Drosophila melanogaster: one gene and its partners. Changing the gene in region 2 together with the main gene of any one other region gives a genetic interaction. Each region holds a gene or a part of one and is shown on either strand. Other genes may lie near its edges. The genes, in order: Sse, thr and Spc105R.

The links.
Region 1: of thr (region 2) and Sse, changing one suppresses a phenotype caused by changing the other (phenotypic suppression), as found in Drosophila melanogaster (one study listed by BioGRID).
Region 3: of thr (region 2) and Spc105R, changing one enhances a phenotype caused by changing the other (phenotypic enhancement), as found in Drosophila melanogaster (one study listed by BioGRID).

The regions. Positions count from the first base shown.
Region 1 is NT_037436.4:5,657,324-5,666,553, forward strand, and holds Sse (separase), read right to left. Parts: upstream 4,925-9,230; 5' UTR 4,832-4,924; coding exon 4,759-4,831; intron 4,675-4,758; coding exon 4,479-4,674; intron 4,416-4,478; coding exon 3,944-4,415; intron 3,887-3,943; coding exon 3,527-3,886; intron 3,473-3,526; coding exon 3,174-3,472; intron 3,117-3,173; coding exon 2,791-3,116; intron 2,735-2,790; coding exon 2,556-2,734; 3' UTR 2,377-2,555; downstream 1-2,376. Other genes in the region: CG46320 (uncharacterized protein), read left to right, coding at 8,648-8,713.
Region 2 is NT_033778.4:17,857,911-17,869,117, forward strand, and holds thr (three rows), read right to left. Parts: upstream 8,054-11,207; 5' UTR 7,941-8,053; coding exon 7,641-7,940; intron 7,586-7,640; coding exon 6,596-7,585; intron 6,538-6,595; coding exon 3,688-6,537; 3' UTR 3,604-3,687; coding exon of another isoform or gene 3,419-3,603; 3' UTR 3,363-3,418; downstream 1-3,362. Other genes in the region: orai, read left to right, coding at 1,348-1,884; CG14490 (uncharacterized protein), read left to right, coding at 2,889-3,297, 3,419-3,603; mapmodulin, read right to left, coding at 9,300-9,343, 9,416-9,649, 9,873-10,178, 10,377-10,459, 10,522-10,898. UniProt on the Drosophila melanogaster protein: Required specifically for chromosome disjunction during all mitoses; maternally provided protein is sufficient until mitosis 14 then zygotic protein is required.
Region 3 is NT_037436.4:20,796,593-20,808,794, reverse strand, and holds Spc105R (Spc105-related), read right to left. Parts: upstream 8,386-12,202; 5' UTR 8,317-8,385; coding exon 8,290-8,316; exon of another isoform or gene 8,253-8,289; coding exon of another isoform or gene 8,229-8,252; coding exon 8,125-8,228; intron 8,073-8,124; coding exon 7,327-8,072; intron 7,251-7,326; coding exon 2,936-7,250; intron 2,874-2,935; coding exon 2,421-2,873; intron 2,362-2,420; coding exon 2,124-2,361; 3' UTR 1,942-2,123; downstream 1-1,941. Other genes in the region: CG3634 (uncharacterized protein), read left to right, coding at 22-1,496; tzn (tenzing norgay), read right to left, coding at 8,805-9,652, 9,807-10,005; CG3698 (uncharacterized protein), read left to right, coding at 10,444-11,466.

The DNA of each region.
Region 1 (9,230 bases), on a different chromosome or scaffold from region 2:
AGGAACCATAGTTGCTAAGGTTTTTCACTAGATCCCAAGTAAACGAATTAAGCTAGAGAGCATCCCTTGGTCTGTTTTTTGAAATCGGAGCTTTTGCACCCTGGGGCCGAACTAAAAGCTCTGTGCTGATAAGAAAGTCCTGGTCGCGAGTCACGTGGCCACTGACAACAATGGAGCTTTCCTTGGGGCAACAACAAACAGCTACAAATGGAATCACCATGAAAACGCAGAATCACTGTGTAAGCTTGGAAACCTGAAACCCGCCGCTCCCGGCGCTAAAGTCAGCACCCACCACCCCCTGAAAGTGAAACATAGTGAGCAGCAGCAACAACAAACGGATTGGGCGAGGACATGGCCAGGAGGAGCAGGGAAAGGGAAAGTCCTGCCTTTTTTTGGTCGCTCTCTTTTTCTCTCTCTCTTTTTCTCCAGCTGCCTCTCTGCCTCTTGGCTCTTGGCCCTTTTGGCTGTTTTTGTTGTGGTTTAGTTTGCAACATTTTGTTCGGGCTCGCTCTCTCGCGATTTTTGTCCTTCGCCAAGGAAGCAGGAGCAGGATACCCAAAAGGATGCAACTAAGGCCAGCGTCGAGCTCAGTCTCAGTTGATCTCTGCCAGAGAATTGTTGTGTGCAACGCGGCGGAATTTACATTTACACCATATTAACACAGAAAAATATGAAGACCCAAAAATAAAGGACCCTCAAGTCCAATTATCAAACTTAACCAAAAACAATAACTTAGACAACTAAAAGAATTTCAACAAAGTTAACAAAGCGTTTCAGCAACAAATTTTCAAAAACCCACAAACCCCAAAACCAAAAAAAAAACCATTAAAAAAATTAAAATTACACAAAGTAAACGGAAAAAGTTTGTACAATTTTTTTTTTTTGGCATAAAATGAAAACAGTTTTTCAACGCATAAGTTATACAAATATGGAAAGGAAAAATGCTGGCGAAAACTAAGAGTTCAAGGTTAAAAGAAAATGAGAAAATTACCTTTTTAACTGGGCAAACAATAATAAAGCATCAGCATCCACTGATAGAAAACAATAACAATAACAATAGCAACGTCAACGTCATCGCATATTCATTTGGGCCAAACCACAACCACTCGTACCCACACACAAGCACACACAAGAGCACAACAACACCAACACACCCAGAGGCACACAAACACACACACACACACACACTGGGAATTTACAACCAGATTTACATGGGGAGCGCCTGTTATGTAATATCCTCCTTCTGACGCTGTCTCCTGTCATGTTCCAAGTCCTTGTTCCTTGTTCCCTGTCCCCATTTCTCGATTTCGCGATTCTCGCGTACGTGTGAGTGTGTGTCTGTTTGCGTGTGTGTGTGTTTTGGGGGTGTGGCATGGCATGCACCTCGGATTTGCTGCCCCTACGGGTGCTAATTTGATTTAACTCGCTGCATGGGCACGGCATTGAGACACCACGACGAAGGACGAAGGACACTGGCCGCCCATCCCAGCTATTGGTAAATCATAAAAATAGGGACGCGCCAAGGTGTGTCTGCCTTTTTTTATGGCATGCAAATCGAGGCCGTAACACAAAAAAAGAAAAACACACGCATATTACGCATACGCCGCGCGCTCGGCGATTAGATGGCTGGGAAGAAAAGAAGTTATTGGGTTGGGCCTAATTAACGAATGTGTGTCATAATGCGACAGGCGTTAGTAGGTCAAGTAGATGCGATGCTGGGCGATTGGAGGTCGCCGCAGGTTCGGTGGGGGAAAAGCTCTGGCCAAAAGGGCAACCCGAGGACGAGGATGGGAACGAGGTGAGATGAGTCGCGTTTTTGGAGAGCAAACTGGGCGACAAGCCCGAGTACGAGTGCGAGTAAATAAATATATGGGCGTTTCTGGGCATTCAGGCATTATTGCACATTCGCCCCGTGGACGAGGGTTTAGCCTAATCCCCACTCGCATTTCAATTATATTGCATTTTTATAAATTCTCAATGTTTCCTTCACTCAATATCTTTCTCTCTGACTGTCGTTTGCACCACACTTTCACTTTTTTACTTTACCTCACCCACATTGCGATTTGTACTCGAATTAATGTTTTTCACTCCCTACTCTTGCACAGGCAAATGTAAGAATGAATCTGTACTCTGTATCTGGCATGATTCCAACTAAGGAAAACGAAAACTCTAACCTAAATCAATTAATCTAAATAGTTCTCAAACGGTTTAAAGTTCCAACAACACAATGTACAAAGTCTAAACATGTTTAAAACTTCTACTTAAAACTAAAAACTTAACCGAAATCAAGGACACTTCAGTTAAAGTGCTAAATCCATAAGGAAACATCACTCAATCTTCCAAATAAACTAAGAAAAGGTAAGTGCCTTGGAATTTCTTCCTAATATATAAATGTTTAGTTTATTTTTACTATTCTGAGTGTTACATTTAGCGTTTAATGCAAACTTTGAGCACCACTTTCCACTTGAATGAAGTAGTTCAATTAAATTAAATTATTGTACACAGTTCCATACGCAAAACTTTGCTTAGGGAGATCGACTCCACGACGAAATGAGCTATAAAGGCAGCTTTTCCACGGCCAAATTCCATGCGGGAAGTCCGCGGCACACGTAAATGCAGCAGTTGTAGATATTCGGCTCCACTTTTCCTTGCTGTACGAGAGATAGGATAGAGCACAGGCTGCCCAGATGGTAGTTGGGTTGATCGTTCATGGTGGGCGTGGTTTCATCTTTTCCTAAATTTAAAAGAATTCCTTAAATATGTAACTTAATAATATAAATAAGACATTACCTTTTATAATGCCATTTTTGAGCCAAGGCACCCGATCAATATGTGTCCACGGAATCACTTTGTTATCCCCCGGGGCCAACCAACGACTCAATATTGTCACCGAAACAGTATCCATATTACCATCCAAGGCGGGCATGAGAGTACCAACTATCGAAGGACACAGAGCTCCATGGTAATAATCATGGGCTCCATACAATGCGCTGTACAGGCCCGTGCCCAACATGCGTGTAGAATCGCAGCCGAATAGAAAAACAACGCTGCGTACCCGAGCCCGGCAAATTATGCGACCATTGACGTACTGCAGCCCAGAACCGTGACCTGCGTATCTAAAATTTAAGGCAAAAGTATTAGAATGCCATTGTTCGCTTGCAATCATATCTTACACAAAGCAATCCGCCTGTAGCGCCTGTTTCACCATCACCTCCTCATTGGGCACGGTTTCAAAAAGATGCTGCCACTGGGAGAGCCAGTACTCAAAAAAGCTACGCAGCCTGCGGCCGGAGTTGACCAAATCCGCATCTGGGTTTATTACACACATGCCACGTTTAATATTTGTTGTGTAGTAGCCATGCTTTATGTTTGATTTGTGATTCTGGAACAAGCGCCATAGGCAATGCAGTGATTTGACGCGGGAGAATTCCTGCACGGTGACTAGTTGTTCCCAATGGAGGTGGTCTAGACGCTACATAAATAATATAGTAGTATGTATTATAGTATAGAAATTCAGATGAACTACCTCATCGACTACCAGGATGATGGGAAATCTTCTGCTCGCCAGGGGCTGACGCTCCTCCACTTCCGCCCAGTCGCTGGCCAAACCCTTAAGCAATTCGTATGCCGACTGGATCTCATTTTCGTTGCTCGACAGCTCATAGCAGATGAGTTTGAGATCTGCGATTTCCAGTCGATTGGCATGCGAGGCCGCTTGGGAAAGTAAAACACGTTGGTGGGTACCCCATTGATTAAGCAGACAGAAATCGTCAACACGAGTATAGGTGGCTTTGATTTGTTTTTGAACAACAGTGCAGTCATATCTTTTGCCAAAGAACAGAAAGGAATATGGAGATATTATGTCCCGAAAGTCGGCAAGTAGTTTCTAGAAGAGGTAAAGTAATGCTAATAAGATACATTGATATTAATGTGTAGTACTTACTTGCTGAAAAGTGTCAAAACCATTCAGCTCCTCCCAATACTTCTGCTTAGCCTCTTTACCTTTCATGTTGAGTGGATCCACGGTTACCACTCGCCTAAATCTTTCCACCAGAGTGCTATACTCTCGAAAGAGATTTGCCGTATTTTCGTTGGAAATTTTCAGGCAAATCGGTCCCAGTTGGGAACTTCTACAGTGTCGGAGCAGAGTGAGATATATTGCTCCATCGCTGGCAATGATCTCATTGAAAACGGAGTAGGTGGTGGCGGGATTAAAGCTCTTGCAGAGCTGGAGGACACACCATTCTTGGGGCAGACTATTGCATTTCTCTGAAATGCGAGTTAGACCCTCTGTAGGATCCTGGACATCATCCAGGAAGTCTAGATACTCTGGTATTTCGTTGATTGGCTTCTTTGGCTGTTTCTCCTGCTCCATTTGCTGGAGGTACTTGATGATGTTCTGCAGAAATTTTTTGCTAAGAATAATGTTGGTAATGTTTGTTTGAGTTTTAAAAGAGTTTAGTTAGTTTATATATCACCTTTTGTAGTCCTTTTTCTCCAGTTTAGTGGCTGATTTGATCAGCTCCTCTGCGGTGGGACGCTGATTTTCCAGTTCCGCCGATTCGGTAAGGTAACGCAGATCGGTGGACTGGAACTGGGCTTTAACCTGGTAGTAAATTGAGTGCTCCACATTGCCATTGCGGTATTCCTCATCGGCGCGCAGTAAATTATATTCTGCAGAAGAAACATGAACATTAACATATTATTGCGAAGATGCAGTGGGAATTTCGAAGTTTCTGGGTCTGCTTATATAGTTACCCTTCGCCTCGGGGCCAACATCTGAACTGGTGAAACCGGCCAGCATCTCAGCCTCGTCACCGGTTTCCAGCATTTCCTATTATTTATTATTTACTTAATTGCTTATTTTCAAACTCGAGTCCGCAAATTGCTTCCTCCTCTTCGGACGATATCGATAGATGCCTTGTAGCCTTTACCAACACTGAGCTATCGATGGGCGATGTGCGATAGGAAACTAGCTCATTTTGTGGTATTTTCTAGTACTTTTTTTGAATTTCGCGGTTATTATTGTGAAAAGCATTGTACTTAATATTAGTCAAATTCGTAAGCTTTAACAAAAATGAAACTTAATTAAAAATATGAATATTAATATTTACTTTTCTGCAAGCAATTCGGGTACGCCATATTACTGTATTAATTACAGATAACTTGTAATTTTTACGATCATAGTTATGTAGTTTTAAAGTAATTAAGAATTTTATAACATCCTATGCCCAATAAACTATAATCGTACGATTTAAGGCATTATAGCTTTTAGTACACCCGTTTTTGTTGTTTTGCTGTCAGCAAAAAGCTTTCCCTCTTGTTGATGTTTGCGGCCGTTCATTCATAAAAACATGAATCGAGATGAAAAGGTGCAAGAGATTGCAGGTTGGCCGGAAAACAGATGTTAGGGTTGCCACGCCACCTAAATAAGGATGAGCAGCGGAAGCTGCGCAGCAACCACACCCTCTCAAAATGGAGCCTTAACATCAATTAAATATTTGTTCAAGTGTTTTAGTGTCTGATTAAAATATATTAGCGCTATTTTCCCATCAAATGCAGTTCATATTCATTTCCGAGGGTCAACCCTTAGCCTTTAAAGCCTTTTAGTTTTTGGCAACCCTAAACCACACCCTCTAGTTGCCCTAAAAACCTTACGCAACAACAAAAGCCAAGTACACACATATGTACATACCGTACATATAGGCGGCCAATTAATGCATATGCGAGCCGAGATACAATATTTTATTTTTTGACTTTTGGTTAACTTTTAAGCTGGCTTTTTTGTTGATTTTTAAATATGTACTTTTTCCAAGACTTTGTGACGTGCGTCTGGAGCTCTGCTGCCGCCTCTGCCGACGTCAGCTGCAAACTGCAGTTTTCTAATGACGTCTTTTGGAGGCAGCAAGAGATAACGGTATTTAACCGATGCGAGTGGGCGGCTCGAGCTTTGATGCCACGCCTATTTCTGAAATACAATTTTCAAGTATTTCTTGCTAATTAAAACGAGTTGTTAACAATATTCAAAATATGCAAAAACATTTGTTAAACCTTTAAAAACTTTGAAGTGCAAGCGGCTAGAGCGAATAATTACCGTTAGAGAAGCTGCAGCTGGTCGCTGTTTTAACTCAACGAAAGCTTCGATAAATATTGAATTGGCGCAGGGGTATAAGGACCTTTGCTCTCTTTGGTTTTGCCTCTGCCGCTACTGCGGCCGCTGCCACTGCCGACAGCGACAGCGACGCGAGCGTCAGCATCCTTTCTACTTATTAATTTTGATGTTGCTTTTCACTTTTACTTTGTCGGGAAACGTGCTGTTCAAGAACTTTTGCCTGGTGGGCCAGTGTTGGAAAAGAGAGGCTTGATCCTTTAATCGGAAATTTTTTAGCTTGATTGTCATGATGGAAAAGAAAAGACACCACCCCCTCACACCACTAAGCCAGCCCTATCACCAAGCCCCCCTTTAAATTCACTGGCCTTTATCCTTTATGTTTTTTGGCTGCATTATTAATGTCGCTAACTCGGCACGTTCGTTGTCCTTTCCGCCTAGCAAATTATAACATTAATATTACATTAACACACACGTACGCCAAATCACACACACATACACATATGCATTGGGGAGACATTAAAACTTTCGCACACAGCAGCACATGTAACGAAAGGCCAAAAACAACAAGAGCTAAGCCACCCCAAAAACAAAAAAAATACCGAGAGTATGTGTGTGTGTGTGTGGCACACATTCCAACAGTTGCAGCGATGTCGCGGTCGACTGCGCAGTCGGCGTCGCAGCATCCCTCTGCATTTGAGCGACTCAAAACGAATTTCGAAGTCGACGTCGACGGTTGTGTTTTGTCGCTTTTTCTTGCTTCCAAAAAATACTAATATAAACAAAATAAAGCTTTTAACTAGCTTCACAAAAAATAGAAAATAACTAAGTATAAAAACCAGCTGAAATAATAAGAAAAATCCTAAGAAAAGCCATTTGAAAAAGCGGAAAGAGCGTAGCATACTTTTCAGCCCCAGTGGATAAAACGCCCACGAGGCAGACGAAAATGAATTAATCAAGTAAAATTCAAGCAACAAACATTCCGCAACAAGAAAAGACATTTAAGTAAATTAAGGTGTGGTGATTTATGCAACTTTTTTGAGGCACACACGCAGCGAAAAGAGAGGGGTGAAGGGGGCGTTGAAGCCACTGCACATACCTCTAAGCTAAGCCAACACACACACACACACACACACACACACTCGCAGGGAGAGAAGCAGGAGCAGAGGCAGAAGAAGAAGCAGAGGCTGAGGGCATACAAAATAAAGGATAACGACGGAAAACCAAGAAAGAAATCGAAATTAAAATATAAGCCTGTGGGAGAAGAAAGAGGAGTGTCGGAGAGGGGGAGGGGCAGCAATTTTCGGCTGTCGCTGTAATTCGACGCTCATCTCCTGCTCTACTTTGCTCTCTTTCTACGCTCTTGCCCGCTTTCTCTTCTCGCCACCGCTTTGCTCTCCCGTTTCGTCAAGTGAAAACATTTCGTTTGGGCTTCGTCAAGTTTTGTAGGTATTTTGGCTACACGAAAATACACAGCGCCTTCATCCTTCTCGGTTTCGTGTCGAAAAACGGAATATCTCGTTATTTCCAGTCGAAAATCGAACTCAGACACACCGAAAATTCCTAAAAATAAAGTGAAAAGTGATCAGTTAATAATTAACGAAATTAGTTTCGAAAACATACGAAAAAAGCAGGCCAAAAACGAACATTTTTTCGGTGGGCCGCGAAAGGCGTTGCCAAATCAAAGGCCACAGGATAAAACAACAGATCCGTAACAAAATTTCAAATTATATCCTAATCGCAGGCACTAAAGCAAGAGGAAAATCCCTAACTACAAAAGATAAAATCAACTAAGCTATACAAAAGTTAATCATACGCACCGTTAATAAGCACCAAGTGAAAAACTGACTACAGGAAAACGCAGAGCAAAAATAAAGGACAAACAAAGGAGTAAAACTCTCTAGAGAAGCAGAAGAAAACAGCAGTATCAGCAAAGAACATTCTGCTGCATAAATAATACACTCGACATACGTATACGCCATATAGGCCAGGACATACCAGCAGGATATATCACACACACACACGCACGCACTCACACATACGGACGGGCAGGACGTGCTCCTGTTCTATTATTTAACTGCTTTCAACGTCAGCACCACGTTCAACCCGACGAAAGTCGATTGAAAGCCGCCTTCAACGGCCACAGCATCCCTCTCTCTCTCTCTCTCTCAGCAAACACAAAAAACAAAAAGGAAAACGAGAGAGCGAGTCCTTTGCTTGCGCCAGTGTGTGTGTGCGCGCGTGTGTTCGCGACAGCAGGAGCGACGTCAACGTCAATCCGCTCAATATTTATACATTGAACCGAGTCTCCAGGCCCACGAGTTTTGCGGCCCTCACAACGCAGACGCTCCTGGTCCTCCGCTGGGGCCCAAAATAAATAACATCTGACAGCTGCCCAGAGTCCTGAATTCGGAGTCCTGAAAGAGCACTCAGCGGTTAGGGGCTAACAAAAGAAGCATAGCCAAAGCGTGTGGCGATACAATTTCCCTGGGAAAACATCAACCAAACTGAACGCGATCCTAAAACGAAAACAAAACAATGGGCGCCAAGGAAAGTGTCGAGGCAGCCGCCAAAATGAACGCCGATGGTTGGGGCCATGTGGAGGTGTGTATTATTTATAAAAAGCAAAGCAAACAAACTAATATCACAGCCATAAATTCCCAAAGCACAAAACTCACAAGCAGTAGTAGTAGGGTTTTTTATGAGTAAAAGGTTTTATCTAAGTTGTCGTAGTATCTCAAACATATGGCTCTATATGGTTGAGGGGTTCTATACTTAAAAAATATGGATAATTTCTATTCTGTATCTTTTGTTGACTATCAACTTAATCTATCTATGAAGTTTGGTTTGATTTAAATTACCCAAACAAAGATCAAGAAAGATGTATATATTTTATCAAGAGTCTCTAGAGATCATCAACCCGAAACTACCAAAAGAAAAGCCCCTAAGATTGTCAACAACTTGGTGATCCCTTTCGATATGTCGATCATCGCCCCAAAGTGTGTCAGACCGACGATCCCGATTGCAACTTTAATGAGGGTGCCGAGTGGTGAGAGTAGATTGATTTAAAAATAAATTAGACAACAACACGTGCAGCAAGCACGCGAACTGCTCTCAGTCC
Region 2 (11,207 bases):
TACAAAGCTAATTTTTCATCGAAGATACATAATGTAACAAATTAGTTTAGTTTTAAACTGAATCTCTAAAAGAGCAATTAACTTATAGATACCTTGGAAATGCACATAAAAATCCATTATAAATTACATTTCGAAGGAAAAGCGATTTGGCGCAAAAATCACATTAAGTTGGGCATTTATGTGTATTAAAATGAAACAATTAGGAATTATTAGGCTATTTTGTAGACTACAATTTAACTACTTTTTTGCCCTAGGTTATAGTTCTATGTTTTTTTTTTTAACATTAAGCCAACTCAATGTGCAGGGCCAGAAATGATGGCAAAAACCACATAATCTTTTTATTTGGACATCGCATTTCTGTTTGTTCAGCACAAAAGGCGGAAAATGCCACCACGAATATGGCATACACTGTAACAAAATAATTATTGTTATTTTATAATAAGAGTGGTTTCCACTTGGCGTATCGCGCAACGGAATGCAATCTGTTATTTGTTCCGTTTGAGTGCCCATTAACCTACTCGCAGTCGCATTTAAGTAATTTCAATCATGACAGGGATATATAAATATATATATATGTATATATATATATATATATCATACATCAATAATTAGCCTTCTGTACCTGTGAATATTGCTAACCAACATAATTATTTTCGATGCCGGCAGCAAGAAATTGAGGGCCAACGAAATAGATTTCGTTTTATTCCCACTATCGTTTTCTTGGCCAAACAAGTCTGTTAGCTGTTTGCCGTGCATATACTCGTATGTATTTCTCACCCATTAATTATGGGTAGTTTAGACTATTGCAATATTGTAGCAGTTTTGCTGAAGAGGAGCAAATATCAAAGCAAATATCAACATACATCATGATACATTCGTTGGTTTCCCAGCATTGTTAAAATTCCCACTTATTGTCTAGCAATTCCACACACGACACAGTTAAATCTAGATAAATTATTAAATTATAGTATGCAGTACATAATATTAAATAAATCAATTGGAAAATGTGCAAGTATTGCAGGTGCTGAATTATTATATTAATTAATTGAGTGACGAGGTATTTATATGTCGCTTTTTTTTTTTGGTTCATCAACTTGTTATGCATTCCACATGTACACCTAGCATGCTGAAGAAAGGGAGGCGCGGCATTAGGGGCGGATCAGATAAATTAGGTCCATTCAGATCACATAATATAAGAGAAAAGTTGCTTATTTGCCAATTTTGCAATGTTCTCGCGAGAAATGGCTAATAATAATAAGAGGCGATGCCGGGGAATCGTTTCGATTTCTAACCAAAATTAAATAAAAATCATTAATGACTTTCTTCACTTTTGCAATTTTCACATAGGTGGCGATGGTGGAGGTGCAACTGGATCACGATACGAATGTACCACCGGGCATGCTGATAGCCTTCGCCATCTGCACCACCCTCCTGGTGGCGGTGCACATGCTGGCCCTGATGATCAGCACCTGTATCCTGCCAAATATTGAGACGGTGTGTAATTTGCATAGTATTTCCCTGGTCCACGAATCGCCACACGAGCGTCTCCATTGGTACATTGAAACGGCGTGGGCATTCTCCACGCTGCTGGGACTCATACTCTTTCTACTGGAGATAGCCATCCTGTGCTGGGTGAAATTCTATGACCTAAGTCCGCCGGCGGCTTGGTCAGCGTGTGTGGTCCTCATACCGGTGATGATCATCTTTATGGCCTTCGCCATTCACTTCTATCGCTCCCTGGTGTCGCACAAATATGAGGTGACAGTCTCGGGCATCCGTGAGCTGGAGATGCTCAAGGAGCAGATGGAGCAGGATCATTTGGAGCATCACAATAACATACGAAATAATGGCATGAACTATGGCGCATCCGGGGACATTGTCTAGCATCACTTGGCGTATCCGCACAAGTGGATCGAACGAAAAAGACAGCGGCTCAGGGTAAGCTTCAGATTATTTTTAGTGAAACACACATATTGTAAATTTGTAGTTGATTAAAATTGTGATACGCGGAATTCAGTAGATTTCTACTATATATATATATATATGTGCGAGTGCTGCTGTAGTCCTTTATTTTACTTATGGCAATTGCGGATTAGCACGGATATTGACAATGATAAAAGACCCCAATTAAAGCAATACTTCGGATGAATATTCCTCAAAAAATTAGCTGATATTTGTTACATATTTATATTGCGTGTATTTTAAATTGTATGCCATGCCGGATTTTCTTTTTTTGCAACCATCCTTAGGCAGTCTTCCCTTTTTACGTTTAAGACACAACTTGATTGTCAAATTTAATATTAAGCCAATTGTGTAAGCGAAACCGCGCTGTAATTTATACCATATAATTTATGATTAAAAGAATTTTCTATATATATGGTGTTGGAGTTTTATTTTTAATCGTGATATATAGCTGAACAATAGATGCGGATTAAAAGAATGCAAAATTTTAGAGACAATTTGATATATTTTATATGCAACATAAAACAATTGTAAAATAAAGTATTTGAAAATGTACTGCAATATTTATATACGAATTATATTCATAGGTATTCCAATAGTTTTGGAAAATATAACAGTCTATTTTCGATCTTTACCGATGTAAGCTAAATAGCGCTGTAATTTATATACGACTGATTAAACGATTTTTACTACATACACTTAACCGGAACAAACGATTTTCTATTGAGCCAATGTCTTTGGCCTCCTTAAGTTAGCGTGTCGCTGCTGGAGGAAGCCAAATGGTGGCAAGACATGCTGCTGCTGGCTGGGGGGGTTCGATTAGACAAGTGACACCACCGCACGCACACCGCCGCCTAAAGTCGGACGACACCACATGGCACCGCCGCAATTGGACGGACTTGCTCCCGCGCTCAGTCATCGAAGACATGTCGTCGCGTACGAGCGGATATAGTAGTGGAGTTCGCTCTCAACGTTATCCTGGTGGGCAGTACCAGGGCAAATGGTTGGGCCAGCAGCCTCACGGGTTTGGGGTAAAGCAAACGAGCAGTGGACTTGTCTACGAGGGTCACTGGCAGAAGGGTCAACGGCATGGCATCGGAAGTTTGCGTCGCAAGGAGCTCGATGGCCGCATGGAACGCATCTACGTGGGTCAGTGGCGGGAGAACAAGCGGAGTGGCGAGGGCAAGCAGTTCTATCCGGACGGATCCGTCTACTTTGGTCAGTGGCTAGCGGACCAGCGAAGTGGAGAGGGCATCCTATGGCAGGCGGATGGCGGCATCTATGTGGGCGAGTGGCTTCGGGACAAGATGCACGAAAAGGGTTTACTTTTCACGGGTGAGTGTGATAAAGAAATAAGATATGTTCCTTTGGATGTATTTGTTTCATTTTATTTATTTTTTCGCAACTTTAAAAATGCATAAAGATTATAGATAATAAGTTAATATGTTATCCATAGCAACGGGAAATCGCTACGTGGGTCAATTTGAAGGAGGCTGCAAATCGGGCTCAGGTGTATTTTACCATGCCAGCAATGGACAGCGGATTCAGCACGGTTTTTGGAGCAAGGACATCTGTAGAACGTCACTACTGTCCCTGCCACAAGATAAAAACAATGAATTTATGTCAAAAGCTCTTTTGTAACACTTACACACAATATATATATATATTTAAATACCAAGACATTTTCGATAAGAATAAATACGAACTAAGGAGACTACTATCTAATCAGTGCCGATGCCGTGTGCGTGTGCTAATGGACTCCGTTTCGGGAGCCTGTGCTTCCAAAACCTGGCGCCTCGTTCGCTTGGATGAAAGAGTCGCTGTCTTTGGTGTCTCTACTGGTTGGCGCAGCCTGGCTCTGGTGCTCCGTGTACTTGTAGTTATTGTCGGCGTTTCTACTATTTCCAAGCTATTATCCAATGTTAGGACTTTACAAGCTTTGGATGTGGCCTTGGGTTTTGCCTTCTCCCTACTTTTTGGTTGTGTCTTCTTTGTGGACACCAAAGGTGAATCGTCATCGTCGCTTATCTCGATCGCTTGGCAGGCATTTAGATCCACGTGATCCGAAGGCGGTGTATTCTCTGTTCCGCTGCCACCGCTGCTACTGCAACTGGTAGCACTTGGTGGTCGTAGTTCCAGCTCCTCGTAAATTCTGAATCGAGGTGCCTTTTTGGCCGACTGTTTAACTTTAGACGCCGTATTCTTGACTGCTGAAACCGATCCTATTGCGGTTCGTTTCTTATCTTCGGGTGAGTGATTGAATACCAAAGCACGTCGAAGGATTTTGACCTGTGGCTTATCCTGACCCACGGGTTTGAGTTCTAACTGAGCCGTCTTTAGCTGAGCCAAAAAATTGTACTCGAAGTTAATGTCGACCGCGCGTGATCGCATTTTAAGGCCCAATTGAGCCGTTGATATAGCCTCTACATGCTTTCGCGCAAAGCGAAGATAGTTCAGATGATACAGCTGCTGGGCATGCAACATGGGATACAAAGCGCTACTCATCGGAGGTTTTTCCTGCATCCAACTATGCGCTCTTCCATAGAATTCGTCCAATTGTTCGCTGTTTCTCTGCAGAAAGCGGAGACGTGCATGTAGACAGCCCGTTACAAAGTACAAGCATTGCAGCTGGGAATTCTCTCGAAGATTCGCTGGCGCCACATCGAGTGTTATGTAGCGATCCAAGTCCAGTTGGGGATTTGGGCTATGTGGTCGCATTTTGAGCAGATTCGGCGAGGCCATATTTAATAGCTGCTGCTTTCTGATCGGCTCCACCAACTGGAGGAGATGCATATTACTAGCCAGATCTCTAATTGCTACATCCTTAATCGCTTCCTTTTCCGGCCTACTCGTTGGATTCAGCTGTTTTATACCTAAACAATGCTCGATGAGTCTCAACTTCGATTGCGCCTTGTCGAAACTTTCCATTTGCAAATTGGTCCATAACCATGCAAGGAATACCTCTATGGCTCTTAAAGCCAAGCCAGATTGGAGTACCAAATGTAGTGCAATGTTGGAGAAGGACAGTCTTTCGCTTAATCTGTTCGCAGAGCACTCGGTGCTTTCCCTGACAAGAGTCGAAAGAAGCAGCTGCAATGAGCCGCCATCTAAACTGGATAGATTGCAAAAACTTCGCACATTGTCCAGAAGAATGTCCAATTGACGCAGAGGAGTCGGCAGCCTGCAATTCGTTGGCTTCCTTTGCTGATACCCAATTCGAAAGCGCACCGTTTGCAGTGTAAGCAATACAATATCACTTTTTCCTTGTCTCTCAGGAAACTCTTCGCGAAGTTGTTCCACATGCAATAGAAGCAACTGGGCATGACTATAGCATTCCATTCTGGCATAGTAACTGGCGAGGTGACAAAAACAGAGCATTACCGTAGTTTGCTGACGCTTGAAGAATTTGCCATTTTTCAATTGAGGCCACAAATCATCCAGCAATTCCTCTGCTACTTCCACTTCCTCGCCGAGTTTCAGATTTAAACGAGAACTAACCTCATTCTGTGACAGAAAATGATTTAGGGCACGCAGATAGGTAAAACGATCTTCCAGCAAGCGACCCATCCTCAGAAGCAACAGCCAGGCATCATCCTCTTCTGACTGATACCCCATACTTGAAAGTGCATTGGCAGTAGCGATGGCATCGTCAATCAATGCCTCCCAATCAATAGACGTTTCATTTGCGCTCAATGGCTCTTGATCTGCTCGATCGAAGAAGTTGCTGAAGGCCGAGATGGCTTCACTAGCATAGTTGACCAATCGCTGCTCCCTTTGTATGTTCATCTGCCATAAATTCTTGCTGAGTAGCAGCTCCTCGAACATATTTTCCGTTATCTCCTTGGTGGAAACTTTGGTTTTTTGAGCCTCCAGTGCGTCCAGTAGTAGTCCCACACTTGCGTGGCCCAGGCACAAGTTATCCATTCGACTGAGCGAACGTTGTTGCCTTAGCTTATCATGAACCTCTATGCATTTCTTCGAAATCGAGTCATCCTTTCGCATTTGTCTGGCCAAGAGTACCAGATGATAGTCACTCGTTCGGCAACGAATAAGTGATTCCATATGAGCCGTAGAAGGACTCCTCAAATAGTGTAGTAAGGCAAAGAAATCGGTATCATACAGCTGTTTCTTCTGGTCCGGAGTGAGAGGGAAAGGTAGTGGCGTGGACTCGTGCCACTCGTAGACACACCTTTTGATCTCGGTGCCCTTTTTTCCCAGATTGTGATAGTACAAACAGACCTGTGATCTTAATCGTGCCGGATTCGTAATCGAGGCCAAGTAACTGGCTTGAATTCGACATGCTATATTGGAATCGCCGCAATGGGAGCTGGCCTTAAAGAGGCGTCGGAGTAAACTGCTCATATCCTGGTCGGCAACCAAAGGTCGCAGCTTCTGCAGTGGCTCCAAAAGTGGCAGCAGCACGGACATTTGCTCCGGACAGGTGACCTGATCAGCCACGTATGTCAGCTGGCGCACTAGCTTAATGATCTCCACACTGGTGGGACCCAAACACTTCATGGTCTTAGCTACATCCATTGAGTATTTGACTACTCCCAGTAAGGGCTTGTGAGGGCTCTGCAATAGTATTGAAATGTAGCATTAAAATTCCACAAAATTAGATAAAAATACCCACCACATTTGTTTTCTGCTCCGCCGCCGGTTTCCAATTAATATACGCATCTAATGCGCACAATCCATACGCCAATATGCAGTGCCGTCGCACGCTCTTGCATGCCTCGTGGGAGCAAGTGCAGCCCAAAGGACTCCTCGTAATATTAACCGCCAAGCTAGCACACGTCTGAAGCAACTGAAAGTGCGCTGTGTAGATATCGGGGCTGCTCTCTCCGTCAAACTGCTGCCAAAATATCTGAAAAGGACTCTGCAACTTACTGTTACTTTGATGGATGAGCACCTGTAGCAATTGAATGGCCACCAGAAAATCCGCTAGCCACTGTTCTTTGGCATGCGAGGCTACTTTGTGCTCGAAGAAGTGCTGAAACTTGCTAGACAAGTCAATGTAGGTGCGCTTAAAGTCGCCTGTGGGTTCCCGAACAAAGATTAACTTGATATAGTAGTACATCAGCTGTAGAGCATAGCACAGGTTTGATTCCTGGCGAAATAGTTCCTTGCTCATGCGCAGCAGCTGCAATGACATCTGTTGATTGGACTGTGGACTGAACATGTCGATTTGTACGAGAGCCAACGTGAGACTCAGGCACTCAGGGAATAAGTTGGCCAGGTTCGAACTGGTGCTGCTGGCCAGGAGCATAAGCAGCGCGTTGAACATTTTGGCAAGACTCTCCGACGGCAGGAAGCTTAGGGACTTGAAGAATGATCTACTTCTTTTGCCAAATAAACTCTCGTTTAGTTGAACTAGAAGCGTTGCGCATAGACTTATTTGCCTTTGCGTCATGGCTGCGAATAGATCTCCCAATGATTCCAAAGCATAACACAATTGACTTGTAGCTTCCAAGGGGAGTTTTTGCTTCTGCAGCAGCACATGGAAACCATTGAAGTGGGTCAAATGTATGTCCAGATATATTTTGTAGTCTGATTCTTCTTGCAGACGGCAGGGTTGTTGTCGGATGAGGTTGTACAGCTTCTGACAGGCTTCAATGGATCGCTGTGAACGGGAGAATTGGTTAGAAAGATTCGAAGATTCTTATAGCGACTCCTACCTGATGAAACAAGCCATGATGTATGTACCGCAGGCTGGACAAGTGCGCTTCCCATAAGCTTGGCTTCTCCTCGCAGGGAACTACGCGTGGCAGCATTATGCCCATGATGTCGCAGTAAAGATCCGAGTTCTGGTGCAGATTATCCTTTAAGGCGAGGCAAATATGGCGCAATACATTCACTTCGTATCTCAGAGGTAGTCCATCGCCAGACAACTCCCGGAATTTGGCTTCCACCGTTTTGCGGACTTTTTCCACATCGGAGCGGCTGCCCTTCAGCTGGGTGGCTATATCAGTAGACATTTTTTCAAAGGGAATTGGCACATTTAACTAGTTTAACTGCGACGCTTCCTTTTTTGTTGCTTTGCGCCAGATTTTGAGATCCAGTGTGACCGTCCATGCTAAAGCTGGAAATCCTTTAACGATAACATCGATATCTCTAGTTTTCATATCAGAACACAAATACTACAAATTCTTGTGGAAAATACTAAACTTCCATGCTCATTTCCGATAACGATACAATTTGTTGCTTTATTGATATCGAGATTTAAATAAAAAAAAATACGCTCATATGCGTAAGCTCTTCTCTTTAATAGAAATCATTTTCCCATTTTCCCCCGTAAAAGACAATTTTAAAATGATGTAGTTTATGTATTTCAGTTTCAATGGGCTGGTAAAGACACATCTCATCTCGTTAAATTAACGCGGGGCCTGCTTTAATAATAATCGGTTAATTACTTGTGTATTAAATGAAAAGTCTTGTCTAAAATTGTTTTGTGTATAAGATTTACTCGCCACATTTAATGAAAACACTACTGCCAATGAATAAGTGGAAACATTTCGGTATGTGGTAAAAGTACACTTAAAAGTATATAAAGGTAAACAATTCGGGTTGCTCAAAAGTGAGTGCTCTACGTTTACAGAATGACGCGGAGATAAAGTTTGTGTATCTGGGAGGTGGGTGATGGGTAACAATGTAAGTGTGTTTAAATCGCCTTGAGCAGAAAGTGGGCGAAGTAGGATGCTTAACTTATGCGTATTTAAAGAAGGAATGACTTAAGAGTTAGTTAAAAGTTCTTAGCAGTAAATTGTGTGATCGTTTTCACGCGAAACGTTGACAAATCCGCAGTTGTTCAAATAACGCCGGAAAGCTATTGTTTGATTTTCGTGACTGATTGAAATTTGAAAACAAGATGCTGCTGGATGGCTAAAAATTGTACACGTTGTAATTGTGTAATCTTTAACATAGTGATTTGGATTTCATGTTGCGAATCCTGAAGATGGCGAAGGTGTTTAAAATGAAACTGGAACTTGGGCTCGGATGAGGCTATACTAATGCGACTTGCTTAATTGGTTGTTTGCTTGGTTTCCTTTGCATTCCTCCTCGATTTTTCTCGCTTAAACATGTATTTTTTTCTTGTTTAGCTTTGTTTGATTATTACGTTCATTATGCTCCTCTTTGTTTGGGTTGTTTGTTGTTTTTTCTTTTTGTCGATTTCTTCTTTCATTAGCTTACATTTTAGAGAAACAAATTGTGGGTTTCCTAAAGGATTTATCATCTTTTTCTATCAAAATATGATGTGTGTGTGTGTTTTTGTTTTGTGTGTGGGTGTATATTTAAATTTATAACGTACAAAGACGCTATACCGACAGATCAGGGTTTTAACCATCATGCTTTCTCTTCTTGCCTCTGACTTGCGACTCGTCTGGAAAGAAAAAAAGGAAAATATATGGCATTAAGAACTAATGCTGTCTGGGATATAAATAATTGAACTTACCTGCTTCCTTTTCGCCATCCTTGTCCTTGGCATTCACTGATGCAGCCGATTCGTTTGCATCACCATCGGCATCATCAATATCGGAATCCTCTTCCTCGTCCTCCTCGCCAGCCTCGTCTTCGCCTTCCCAATCAGAGTTATCCTCTTCCAAATCGTCATTGTACACCTCCGACAGGGACACTTCACCATTCGCCTCTTCGTCGCTATCATCGCTGTCGTCATCTTCGTCGGAAACTGAAAAATCAAAGGTAAATTTGATTAAACCAACTTGCTTGTTTGTACATCTCGAACTTCCCTAAATCGATTTTTTAATGTGTTCAACGGAATTGAGATCAACAAACCTACGAACTACTATAACGCTTCTTGTGGGTAAGAGAATCTTTACTTTTTCTGCAGCATTTTCGAGTTAGAGAAGTTCGACTAATACTGAAGAAAAGTTCAGAAACGTTATGCTTACAATATGTAGCACTGCCCAAATTTAAAATGGCAAGGAACCAATACAGCAGGATTACAAAACTTAAGTTAGAATTGCTAGGAGGCTGCGGTGTGGCATTTATCACAGATTGTTCATCGGTTGAAGCATCAGTAGATTCCCTTAGCTGCAACTCTTTCAAGTATTCATCTAATTCGTCTACTTCTTTGTCCTCCGATTGGGGAGGTGGTTTGTCCTGCAAACTTTTTTTCGCCTTAACCCGCTTCTCGAAAGCCTCGAGCTCGTCTAAATCGATCTCTAAACCATTTAAACAGAATGCATTGCACTTATCTGAAAGGCGACAAAAGCCACGGTTGAGTATATGATATTATTGTTAATACGAAGAAAGCGCGATTCACAATAAGCGATTAAGTTAAACAGACGGACAATGGAATTTTAATGGTGGTTACATGGAAATCTTTTATAAAAAAAAAACTCCTGAATTCTGCGATTTAATCTTTGGTCTCTATAAATACGTCGAATACACACCTCCCACTTCGTCGGAATCGTTGCCGTTGACCTCATCATCATCATCGCCATCAGATTGCACCTCCTCGTCGTTGCAATCAAATCTGGAAGTGGTCAAGAAGTTACTTTTATTGTTCTACAATAGAAAGAAGTTACTCAAACTCACCCATCTAGGAAATTTAACGATGGCAACATCTTGAAGATCTTCTCGCGGTAATTATCCACTTGAGTAGCGTCGTTATTAAACAAATCCAGAACAACCAGATTTTTAAACTCCTCCAGGGGCTTCAGGGTTTCCAGATCCTTTATCTTGTTGCCAGACAAGTTGAGATATTGCAGTTTGGGGCTAGTGGTCAGATAGTTGAGGCCACTCGAAATCCGATTGTCGGACAGTTCGAGCTTCTTTAAATTGGGCAGCTTGGGGAAACCTTTCAGTGTGGTGAGACCCACGTTGATCAAGCTAAGCGATTCCAAGGCTGTGTATTCATCTGTAAGGCCAACGATGCTTGTACTACGGCAGTTGTCCAGATTCAGCTCTGTGATCTAGGTTATAATAGGGTTGAGAGTAAATACATAAATTAGAAGTAGTTCATTTTATTTATATGAAACGAGTTTTGAATAATTTTTAAACCAATTATTACTTATCGATATTAGTTATTGAAGACAAGAACAAACGATACCGATTATTTTGGTATATTTGATGTATTCATTGTGGAATATTCAAGCCTCGCAGTCTGGTCACATTTGTAACATTTTTTGACGCAAAGCGAACAGAAAAAAAAAATGGAGAACAATACATACGCAAAAATCGATCAAACGCTGAGAAATTTTTTTTTGTTGAAATGCAAAACG
Region 3 (12,202 bases), on a different chromosome or scaffold from region 2:
TTCACTGTCCCTGTTTCGCAGAGCAAGTCTCTATCAACCACATTAGCCCCTGGATAAATGGCAGCGATGGCCAATCAGAGTCCAGCAATGGCAGTGGCAGCAGCAGCAGCAGTGGCTCCAGCAGCAGCAGCAATGGCGGAGCAGGCGGAGGAGGATCGGGTGGAGCAGGGGCATCAGGCAGTGGCAGCGCCACCACAAGTACGGGCACCCAAATGCCCGAGTGTAAGGTCTGGCGAAATCCACTTAATCTATTTCGCGGCGCCGAGTACCAGAGATTCTTTTGGGCCACCAGCAAGGAGCCGTTGACCTACTACGACATGAACTTAAGTGCCCAGGACCATCAAACATTTTTTACCTGCGAAGGCGATGCCCGCAAGGAGGAGTATGAGATCATGCAGACGGCCTGGCGCGAACGCAATCCCATGCAGCGCATCAAGTCCGCTCACAGTGCTCTGGAAATCAATGCGGAATGTGCACCTGCCTATATACTGCTGGCCGAGGAGGAAGCCATGACCATTATGGAGGCGGAGAAGATCCTGAAGACGGCCCTAAAGGTCGCCGAGATCAACTACCGCAAGTCGCAGGCCACCCAACACCAGGGCGCCATTGCGGATGGCATGCATCGGCGCGACACCAATGTGCTGATCTATATCAAGCGACGGCTTGCCATGTGCGCCCGCAAGCTGGGCAAGCTGAAGGAGGCGGCTAAAATGTTTCGCGATCTCACCAAGGAGATACCCTCGATCATGAGCGTACTGAACATTCACGAGAATCTAATCGAAACGCTGCTGGAGATGCAGGCCTACGCCGATTGCCATGCCATTCTGGCCAAGTACGATGACATCTCGCTGCCGAAATCGGCGACTATCTGCTATACAGCTGCTCTGCTGAAGGCGCGCGCCGTAGCCGACAAGTTTTCGCCAGACATAGCATCCAAGCGAGGTCTAAGTCAAGCTGAAATGAGCGCCGTTGAGGCCATTCATCGGGCGGTGGAGTTCAATCCGCATGTGCCCAAGTATCTGCTTGAGACAAAGCGACTTATTCTACCGCCAGAGCACATTTTGAAGCGCGGCGATTCGGAGGCGTTGGCCTACGCGTTCTTCCATCTGAAGCACTGGAAGCAGGTGGAGGGCGCCCTGAACCTGCTGCACTGCACCTGGGAGGGCACGTTTCGCATGCTGCCGTATCCGCTGGAGCGTGGCCACCTCTTCTATCCATATCCAACATGCACAGAGTGCGCGGATCGCGAACTGCTGCCGGCGTTCCACGAGGTGTCTGTTTATCCTAAGAAGGAGCTGCCCTTCTTCATCCTGTTCACGGCGGGACTGTGCTCCATTACCGCCCTGCTGGCCTTGGCCACCCACCAGTATCCGGAGCCCATGGGTCATTTGGCACAGACCGTACTTACCTGGATATCGTATCCATTTCAGCTGCTCAAGGAGCGTATCGAGGCGTTCTGGCCGTGCAATCTGCTGCAGCAGTTGTCTCGCGTCTAAGCCGGAGGTCACACACTCCTCCACTTTCCACCCTCGAATGACGTCACACACACTCACACAAAACTAAGAACACCACACATACTCACACGCATCCATCTCCATGTGGCTGAGAAGCAAGCGGGCAGAAGGCCACGGAACCACTCAAAACACAAACCTTAAACACAAAACATACATATATATATATATATATATATATATATAACGTATATATATTTTGGATCTTAATATGTCTGTGTTGTCTTCGTGAAATAAACATAAAGAAAGCAAATGCAAGCAAACACGCACTCAACTAGTTCCAGCTTCCAAGTGATCCGGATGAACGAAACGAATTTTCAGCAGCCACGCAAGAGGAAACTAAATTACTTTTAAGTTTTATTATTATTTTAATTATTGTAAACGAGTACGAGAAGCGAGTAAACTTAAATTCAAACAAAATCCTTCCTTGCTCTTTATTTGTTTTATTTCGTTCAAAGGACTTATAGTAATGGTTGCTCTTATAAATAAGCTCGATTTCAGTGGAAATCCTTGCCCATTCGCATACACTTTCAATGTGAATTCGTTAAAAAACGCAGACGAATGCATTTATTTTAATTTAAAACAATTTAAAAGGTAGTCTAACATACGCATTTATTTTCTAAGGTACTGCTCGGGATCGGTGAGAAAGGCTTCGAGGAAAGGAATTCCCTTGGGCAGATACTGAATGTTTTCATTGAAGAGATGCAGTTCGGGGCGTAGGATGTCCGTGAAGGAAACGTCCTCAATATTACCGATTTCAATAAGGAAAGTGATCTTCTCGAGACGCACGATGGGTTCCTGGTCGATGCACTTTCGCACTATCTTTCTGACAATAGTTCGATTTGCTTCTCTAAAAAGGGATCACTTAAATTAGTAATGTATTGAGATACACCTTGGAGAAGCTTATACCTTGTTAGCCTCGCTCTCTTCTGCGCTAGAAGATCTAAAACTTTGTGTAACTTTTGCTTGACTTCTGCAATTCTGCGATCAATGCCGTTGAGAAATTTCAAGAAAGCCGTCTCATCACTGCCCTCGATCTCGTCGCTAGGATTCATCGGCAGGCGGAGACTTAGGTGGAAGTTTAAAAAGTGTTCACGCGATGACCATTGGTCCTTGGGAGTGGGCACGTCATTGTCTAGTTGAATGGAACACACGCTAATGGTGGACTCCTCTACTAAGTCTTCGATTTGGTAGTTCACCACGATTCGGATCGTGGTCAGCTGTCGGTTGTAAAATATCATTTGCTGGGACACTTTACGCTGGTAGTCGAAGATCCAGTTGGGCTGCTGTTCGGTTAGCAAACGTTTGAGTCTCGTAAAGAAGGATTCCGGGGGCATGGCTATGTCCTTCTCTTCTGTTCTTCTGTTGTAGAAATAGTAAATGTTAAAAAATGATTCAAAATTCCAAGTGTATTCGGTACTCACAGCTTGCACATTTCAAGAAGCGCCGCTTTGTTCCACTTGGTGGCCTCCTCCTCCACCCTGGTCTGCTCCATTGAATCGTCGGAGTCTTGGTTCCTGGACAGACGAGCCTCCTCCTCGATCTCCCAGTAAGTGTTCACTTCCTTCCACGACGGCCTCTGCCTTATATTGCGCAACCGTTGCTGTAGCCTTGAAAAGTCCCACAATTTCCGAGGTGGCAGGACAAATGACTCGCTACTTAGCCTTGTTTCGCTCAAAGTATGATTGCAATTCCTGCACTTTTTGCAGGAGCCTTCGCTGCCAGCTTTTACCATTGAATTCAGTTGAGCCTCGCAGATTTCAGGTTGTAAGAGATGCTGTTTTTGCTTCTGCTCTTCTTCCTCCTCCTTCTCGTCGCCATCATCGTCTGTTTCCTCCGCCAGCGTGGAAACCAGACTTAGGTGCTCGTTATCTATCTGGTGGGGCTGGTCCTTCCCCTCACCACCCAAATCTTCTGCGGCTGCAAAGATGGTTGTGTTCCCGGTCAGATTGATGAATTTTGAGATTGTTGCTGCGTAGCTCTTGAAGGTTCTATCGTTGGAGCTGCCGCTCTCTCTTTCGCTAGACTGGCGCTGCTGCTCCTTTTGCTCATGGAAGTAATTATTAACATCGGAGATAGTGATGGGTTTCTCCTCTAGATCCATGTTATAGGTCGATTTTCGTGGCAGCTCCAGCATATTAAGACCACCCTGTTTGTTCATCTCAGTCACTACAGGATTGTAGTCCCTTACTGGCTGCACCGACGCGTCCAACTGGTCTACCGTGTAGGTCCTGCGTGATTTACTTGTCCCTGTGTGCATCTGAATACTTTTTGTCCCCCAAGAACCTTCCTGATCCTCCTCCAATTCGATGTCCATGTTGCTATTCGGAAACAGATGCGTGTTTCGTTTCTTGGACTCCGGAAGGTTGGGCGTGAGATGCGTGGGTAGGCGCTTTAGTTGGACGAGATTTTTTGGAGTTCCAAAGCCGGAGGCATTCGCCTCAAGGTCTATCGGCACTGGTTGGTACATGGACAATTTTTTCCGATGGGAAGTCAGGAGAACTCTTTTGTGAATCGGGGTCTTGCACATCTCTTCCTGATCCACAAATTCAGTCAAGGACATTCCCGGCGTGATTGCATTAAAGTCCGGACCCCTCGGCCTAAACTGCGGGCTTTGAAAGTCCATTGATTCGGACATAGCAATGGATTGCTGAGTCTTGGCACTGGGAGGAGTGCCTATCTCTTCGTTTTCTACGGAATTTTTAGATGAATGAATGGGTCCTTCTGGTTTTTCTAGCTTTTCGGAAATTTGGTGCTTGGTCCTTATGGGGTAGTTATGTCCGAATATCCCCTCATCCTCTTCCATGGGTTCCGATAAAAGTAGCGTATGTCTTCTGGATGACGGAACATCAGGAACCTGGCTTCTTTGGGGTAAAGTCTCTTCCACGGATTGTGAAATTTCTGGTCTGTTGGAATCCAAATCCTCGATGATAGGCTCCGCCGAAACCTTCGAGCCCATTGATTTATTTTTAGAAATTCGAGTGTGTTGCGCGGGTACATCTTCTTCTATGGACTCAGTCAGCAGCGTAGTTCTGCCCTTCACCGCAGGTTCGGATTCTCTTTGCTGTTGGCCCGGAATATGATCCTCCTCAATGGGTACCGGTATATGCACGGATTGTCTTGTTTTGGCAGCCATATATCCACCGGACTGTGGAACATTTAAAGAGTCACAGATCCCATTTTGTTTGGTCATATTGTGGTTATTAACATCTTCTTCAATGGGCTCTGCCATGATAAGGGTCTTTCTGTACCTGGACCTCAGAGGCCCCACTGATGAGTTTTCATTTACGGGTTCTAAATCCTCCTGAATAGTTTCATGCGAGATGAGGGTATTCCGCGGCTTCTGGTGGAGATAGTTTAGGGGTTCCTTGGGAGGAGTTTGAACCGATTCGGAAAATTGCTGTTTAGCTATTTGATCAGTAATTGAAAATAGGGCATTTTCAATGGGCTCGGCGAATGACTGAATAATTCTGGCGGTCAAAGATGACTCCTTTGAATTTTCCAGCGGCTTACGAACACTCAAATCCTCTTCAATGGGTTCGGCAGTAATAAGCGTGTGTCGTCTAGAGGTCTTCCTAGTGATTTTATCCTTAGATATAGGAAGTGGCTTTGGCTGATCATTTGACTGATTGAAAACATCTTCCTCTATAGGCTCTGCCATCAGCAGAGTTTGACGAGATTTGGAAGTTTGAAATACCGCTTCTTCAGAAGATTCTTTAGTAAATTGACCTATTTTTTCAGCGATAGACTTATTGCCCTCTTCCTCTATCGGTTCCGCCATCAAAATGGTTCGCCTCGATCTTAACGTTCTATTTGTGCTGGCATTCGTACTTTTATCTTCGTTAGTTAGTTCTTCTTCAATCGGTTCGGACATCAAAAGAGTGTGTCTTGGTCTGGAAGTTGACGAACCAGTGATGTTAGTTTGCACCCTACGTTCCGTTTCTCCAACATCTTCTTCGATGGGCTCTGCCATGATGAGCGTTTGCCTTGGCTTGAATCTTTGCTGTCTAGCTAAACTATCCTCCTTTTCAGCTGGCAAGTCCTGCTGAATATGTTCTTCTTCAATAGGTTCGGATAATAATAGCGTGTGCCTCGATTTTGATCGCTGCTGCTCGGTTGATTTATCTATTGTTTTTTGCGACACTATTGACTTATTCTTTGGCGGTGGAAGACACATTTCCTCCTCTAAAGGTTCTGACAAAAGGAGAGTTTGTCTGGATTTAGCGATCTTTCTTATGTGGTTCTCTCCAGGTTTGGCAATATTATATTTATTGTTAAATTCCGTGTCCTCCTCCATGGGTTCTTCGATCAGGAGGGTTTGCCTAGCTTTGGATCTGCTTTGCGAAGTGAAACTCTTCCCCTGGTTTAATTGACTGTATTTCTGAGGTCCAGTCTTGTTTCCCTTTAAAGCACATTCCGGTAAATCTTTCGCATTGTGAAATATTTCCTCCTCCACGGGCTCCTCGAACAAAAGAGTTTGTCTACCCTTGGATTTGTTTTCTTGATGCGCGACTACTTTTATTGGTATGTGCTTTTCCAAAATGAAATCCTCTCCCTCCACCACCAGAGGTTCCGCTAAGTGGAGAGTCTTTCTTTTGGAATTGTAACCAATGTTACTGCTCATTTCCTCTTCCATAGGTTCCTCTAATAGCAGCGTTTTCCTCGCTTTAAGTTGTTCTCTAGGGGCAACATTTTTAGTTGGTAACATATTACTTTGGTTTATGTCCACTTCCTCCAGTGGTTCTGCTAGATACAGCGTATGGTTCACTTTGGATTGCCCTGTATTCATAGGAGCCGCATTGGGCTTTAATTGTAAGTTTTTGAGAGGGCTAATGATGTCCTCCTCCATGCTTTCCTGCATCAAAAGCGTCGCCCTGCGCTTGGTTTTAGTGCAGGCCCATGTGTTGCGATTTTGGTTGCTGTTCTGCTCGTTGGTTGTGGATTTTTCGTAGATAGTCTCCTGCGTGGTAACCGATATCTCCTTCCTAACGTACGTGGATTTCGTTGTTTCATGATCCATAGATTCATTGAGATGTAAGGTGCGACGCGAGGTAGCAGTTTTCAATGCAGGAATAGCAGGGTAATTTGTCTGACTGAGCTGCATTTCTTCAGCCATAAAATCAGTTTTACGAGTCTTGGAACTCGGAATGGGTTGAAAGTCCTGACTTAACGTAGGATATTCCAAATTCAGTTCCGAGGTTTCGCAAGTTGTCTCCCTTCTTGTCGAGTTCTTCGACGTATTTCTCGACTGCGTTTCGTCGCCTAGTCTGGCGTGGGCCAAGAAGTTTGTATTGTCAAGCATCATCTCATCCGCCTGGGATAGTCGATACTTCTGCTTCTCATCCGCCGCCTTTAGTTTCTCCTTGTTCTTTCCAACTGGACTTGTTTTCGTCGGCGTCAAGGTCATGTTCTCACTGAAATTTAACATTCCTCGTGGCACTATGCTTCTTATATCTTTCTTTGGACTATTATCTCCCGCGCTCTCCTCTTCAAGGCCGCACCAAAACCGATTTTTCTTGGCCTTACGATCCGTGGTCGGCGTTTTTGGCCCGTTCGGAAATATCTGGATCTTACCCGTCTCCAGGTCTTCGTTGAGTTGACGAAAATTGAGTTTCTTGCTTATGTTTTTCCCCGAAATCATGTCGAATGGTATCAGCATCGACTCATCTCTCGTAAAGTTCATGGTGCTATTAAGGCTCTCAAAGGAGTTCGATGGCGAACGATCTCGGTTATTGGAAACTGCAAAATAATGTGACAACCGAAAACTTGCTAATTAGAAACTATTGGGAAGGGATTTAACTGAGATAATACTAACCATTTAATGAGAAGGATGCACCTCCAGCTCCCTGTTGGGTTTTATTCTTGGTCTCCCCCACGTCCATGAAAAGCGATTTCTGCGCCGGAGTTTTTGTCTGGTTTTTGGTGGACTCACGCATCTCCCTTACAATGCTGTCCTCTTCGAGCTCCATTAAACTTTGTTGAGTTGGAGGATATAGAGTTGCAACTGGAGCTGGAGCGGGAGCAGCAGGATTGGGATCAGTAAATCCCAATGGCGTGATGTCCATGAAGGAGTCACTCACAGCCTTGACAGCTGGCGTGAATACCACCTTCTCCAGTTTGTTTGTTGCCACTTTGATGGAGGATTCCTCACAAACGCTCGACGCGATTTGGTGGCGGTTGACGAGAGATCCGGATATCAGATCCATGGTCTTGTCTACCAGCTGGCGGTCGCTGAGACTGCTTTGCAACAGTTTTCGCTCCTCGGAGGTCATGCAAAAGGACACAGCAGAGATTGAGGATGTCTTCCTCGATTTGTCCATCATTTCGCAGGGCAGCAGGGTGAAATCCACGCTGGCCTGCAGATTCACGGACAGATCGACATGTTCCCGCTCGCAGTGGCTGGGCAGGGGAATGTTCTCCTTGTCGGCATGTTCGGAAACCCTCGCTACTGATGCTGATCCTGTGCTGCAGCACTTCGATCCCGAGCTGTCCTCAGCATGGTGTTCCGACACCTCGTACGAGTCGTCCCAGTTGTTGGTCTCCTTGGTGTTTACGAATTCCCTATGTGGAGGGCGGGTGAGCGTTGTACATCGCATATATCTACTGTACGTACCTCACGGACTTCTTGCCACTGAAACTGATGCGTCGCTTGATTTGTTGTTTGATCGCGGACGTTGTTGTGGTCGCCTCATCTTCCTTGGTCGGCACCTTACGCAGCTGCAAGAAGAGTAGGTCTACCATGAGCGCTTCTCAATCAATTAATTTTCGAAGAACCCACCGAACTTCTGCGTTTGTTTGCGTTCATCGCGCCGTGCTGTTAACTTGTTTTTATTTCAAAATCCCATTGGAGAGACGCCGCGATTTTTGTGTTAATGGCAGACGGTGTTGCCAGATCGTTGGCGATAGATCGCTAGAAATACCAAAAGTATTTTTGATATGCCCAAAAGGCACTAACGCCTAACCAAAACCGTTGTGATTCAAATTTTACGAAATTTGCTAAAATCTTTGGATTTAAAAAATTTGTTAAGTTCATTGCTCTATGAATAAAGTTGGAATCAACCAGTACCCTCTTCTCTAGGGTGTTGCTAGACCAAAATACCAAAAATAAATTCTTTTAAATAAAGCTGAAGAAATAAATTTATGTCATAATTTGAATAAAACAAAAAAAGTTTTAATCCGATAAATTGCGAATAATTAAAAATCCATTGTCCGCACTTCACACACATCGTTAATTTTATTAACCATTAAAATCCAATATTAAATCACAAGTTTCGAAACTTTCGAGGAAATAGATCAGGCTTTGAAGGTGTCCTTTTCCTTGCGCAGCTTGCCCATGGTGACGACGGGATCGGTGGCTCCGCCAGCGTGCTTCTGCACGGTGGCTTCGTGAACGCGCATAAAGGGGTTCCAGGACTTCTCCTCGCCAATGGTGGAGGGCACAGTGGGATCCTGGGAGGCGCGCCGGTGCTTGGCCCACTCGATCCTCTGCTGGATGACCTCGTTGTCGGGCTCGACGTGACGGGCGAAGCTCATGTTCTGCAGCGTGTACTCGTGGCCACAGAACACCTTTGTGGCGTCCGGCAAGGCGGAGAGCTTTGTGCACAGCGCCTCGTACATTTCCTCGGGAGTGCCCTCGAAGAAGCGGCCGCATCCGCCCTGGAAGAGGGTGTCGCCGGTGAAGACGGCTCCCTCGCCGCTGCCCTGCTGCGCGGTGATGTGGTAGCAGATGTGGCCGGTAGTGTGGCACGGCGTGGACAAGCACTTGACATGCAGACCACCAATGGTGAAGGTGTCGTCCTGCTGAACCTTTTTGTTCAATGCCCCGATGCGGTCATCGCCGCCATACACGTCCAGCTCCTTCTCCCACAGCTTGAGCAGCTTTTCATTGCCACCGGCGTGGTCCCAGTGATGGTGCGTGGTCAGCACCTTGCTGAGGGTCAGCTGCTGCTCCTGCACCGTCTTAATGACCAGCTCCGGCTCCACGGGATCCACCACGGCCGCCTCGCGCGTCTTCGTGTCTACAATCAGATACATATAGTTATCCTGCAGGGCCGGCAGGATCTTGATCTCCATGCCCTCCAGCTGCACGTCCTCCAATGTGCTGTGCATGCCTCTGAAGCCGACTTTTCGTAGTTTTTGCACTGAAACGAAGCGATGGTTTCACATTTAGCTACATAGATGGCCAACAGATAAACAGACTGACTAGCTACGGACGAACAAAAAGCGTAGATACTGGGAAATGAAATTGCAGCACCGGGAGAGATTAGATTAAACACGTATGTACGGATAGATTACGCTTGACGAGACTTGGACAGATGACGGGCACAGCCAGAAAACGCCGCCGAATCGCTCCGAAACCAGGGGCATCCGCTCGAGGAATCGTCCGCCAGGAACGCAGGAGCAGTGTCGGATTGCTGGACGAACCTCGGAAGTAGGTGGCCGTCAACTGGGTCTCCACGGAGGTGGCCACGCTGCGCCAGGCGGAGGCCAACATTCTGTACTTTCGGCTAGATAAACTGAAAAGCGTGTGCGATTCGAAATGAATTAATTATGGCTCCTAATTACAGTTGTTTTTTTCTCCAAATCTGCTATGCTCGGGCGAGTGTGACCGTTTGGGGGCCGGTAAGGGAAACCACTGACGGGTACACCATCTACCGGAAATATACCGAAACATACCTGCAAACGTAGTGGTGGCTCAAACCGGAAATGAAAAGTTTTATAGCACAGACATAAGCCAATAATAATAAAAATACATTTTTATATTAAATTATATATTCTTGTCTCTAGGCCAAAGAGTATATGTTCTCTTCTGTGGTAAAAAGCTTATAAGTTAACTTTTTGGCACGCCTAACTTGAATTCAGATCATATGTACGAAAAAGACGTCAGTTGGCTTTGAAGCGGCACGTCATAAGTTTAGAACATAAAGTCACTATGTCGGAATCAACCGATCCCCATTGCGCCACCTCCAAGTCCAACCTGATCAAGGTGAACCACGTGGGGGTGACGGCCAAGCTGCAGTCTCCCCTGAAGAAGATCTTCCCACGGCTGAACTCCTCCAGCGATTCCGACGCATATCAGCACAGTCAGACGCAGTACAACATGTTCAAGGATGTGGCGCACGGGGAAATGACCGCGTCCACGGATTCGGGGAGCTCACCACACACTCTGTACGAGATGCACGCTGAGCCGGGGAAGAGTCAGCTTAGCCTGAGCAAGAGCAAGCCCCAAAGGATCGAGTTCCAGCGTTACTCCAAGCGCCGTCCCCGTGTGCTCGTCCCAACGAGAACTGCGCCGAAAGTGAAGGGTCGTGCCACAAAGTCCCACAAATCATCGCAGGCGCAGAAGCAGAAGCAGAAGAGTGGCTTTCTAGCCCGTTTAGTGGAGTCGCTGGACAAGATGTGCAAGTGCCAGCCGCAGAGCCGAAATTCCATCATCGACGATCTGCCGGAGCCACAGTGGAATCGCAAGGAGGCCAACCGGCACACCTGCATCGGCATCTATCCCTTCGAGCATGGCTGCGCCGACTATCTGAGCACCACGGACTCGCATCCGAAGATCAATGCTATTGTCCTGGCCGACCGCGCCACCACCTATGCCACCCACTTCTGGGCGGAGCTCTTCGGACTGCTGCACATCGCCGTGGCCTTCGTGGTAGCCTTCATTCTGCAGAGCTACCGATTTGTCCTCTACTCCCTGGTGAACACCCTGATCGTTGGACTGCTCCACATGACCTCCGACTACTTGCTCAAGCCCCTCCTGACCATGCTCTTCAACGGCTACCTGCAGCCACCACTGATTTTCCTATACAATGTACTGTGCTCCGCCAGGGACATCCTCGATCCGGTGGCCACCACCCTGAACAACTTGATGAAACCGCTGGCCACGGTGGGCGGCAGTATACGATTGGTGGACGTCAACTATCGCCAGGTCCATAAGCTGGCCAAAGAGGTTTGAGTTTCGTTTCGTTTACGCTGTTAAATTGTTATTGTTCGTTTTCGAAGTGCTTTTCTTGTTATATTAAAAATAAGTACGGACTTTATATAAATTCTACTCATTTTAAATTAAGGATAGAAAACTACAACTGCTTGTACAAATGTAATATAATGCAATATATAATATCAGGCAATAATATTATTAAATACATATTTTTTATATTTGTATATAATCAATATTTGTATGAACTATAAATTTAAAAGGATTCCCCCATTGAATCTGTTTCATTTCAATTTTGTTCCGTTGACCGTTTTGTTTCACTTCCACTTGTTCCCGTAGGCGGAGCCATTACAACCCCTAAAACTGAAGAAGTTTTTCCACCTCGCAGCCTTCACACAATATTACGCACATTCCAAAAAACCTTCTCGGATTACATTGTTTTTCTCGTTTCACAGAAGTGTAGGCATGGTGACCCACCCCTGCCCCTCGGAGAAGGAGAACTTAGGGGTAAGTTCTGGCTCAATTACGTTGAATGAAACATTTATGATTTATTTGCTCATTTTGCGGCCGGGGAAAGCATATGTCCAAAATAAAAAATAAAAAACACACTAATTGTGTCCCGCGGGAATTTCGTTTGGCAGCGCATAATTAGTTTACAATTTTCGCTTAATAAAGTCGTTAGAAAACAACGATGCACAAGAGAATTTGAAATCCCATTTAAAGCTAGCCATAAATAATATAGAACTTGAATATAAAT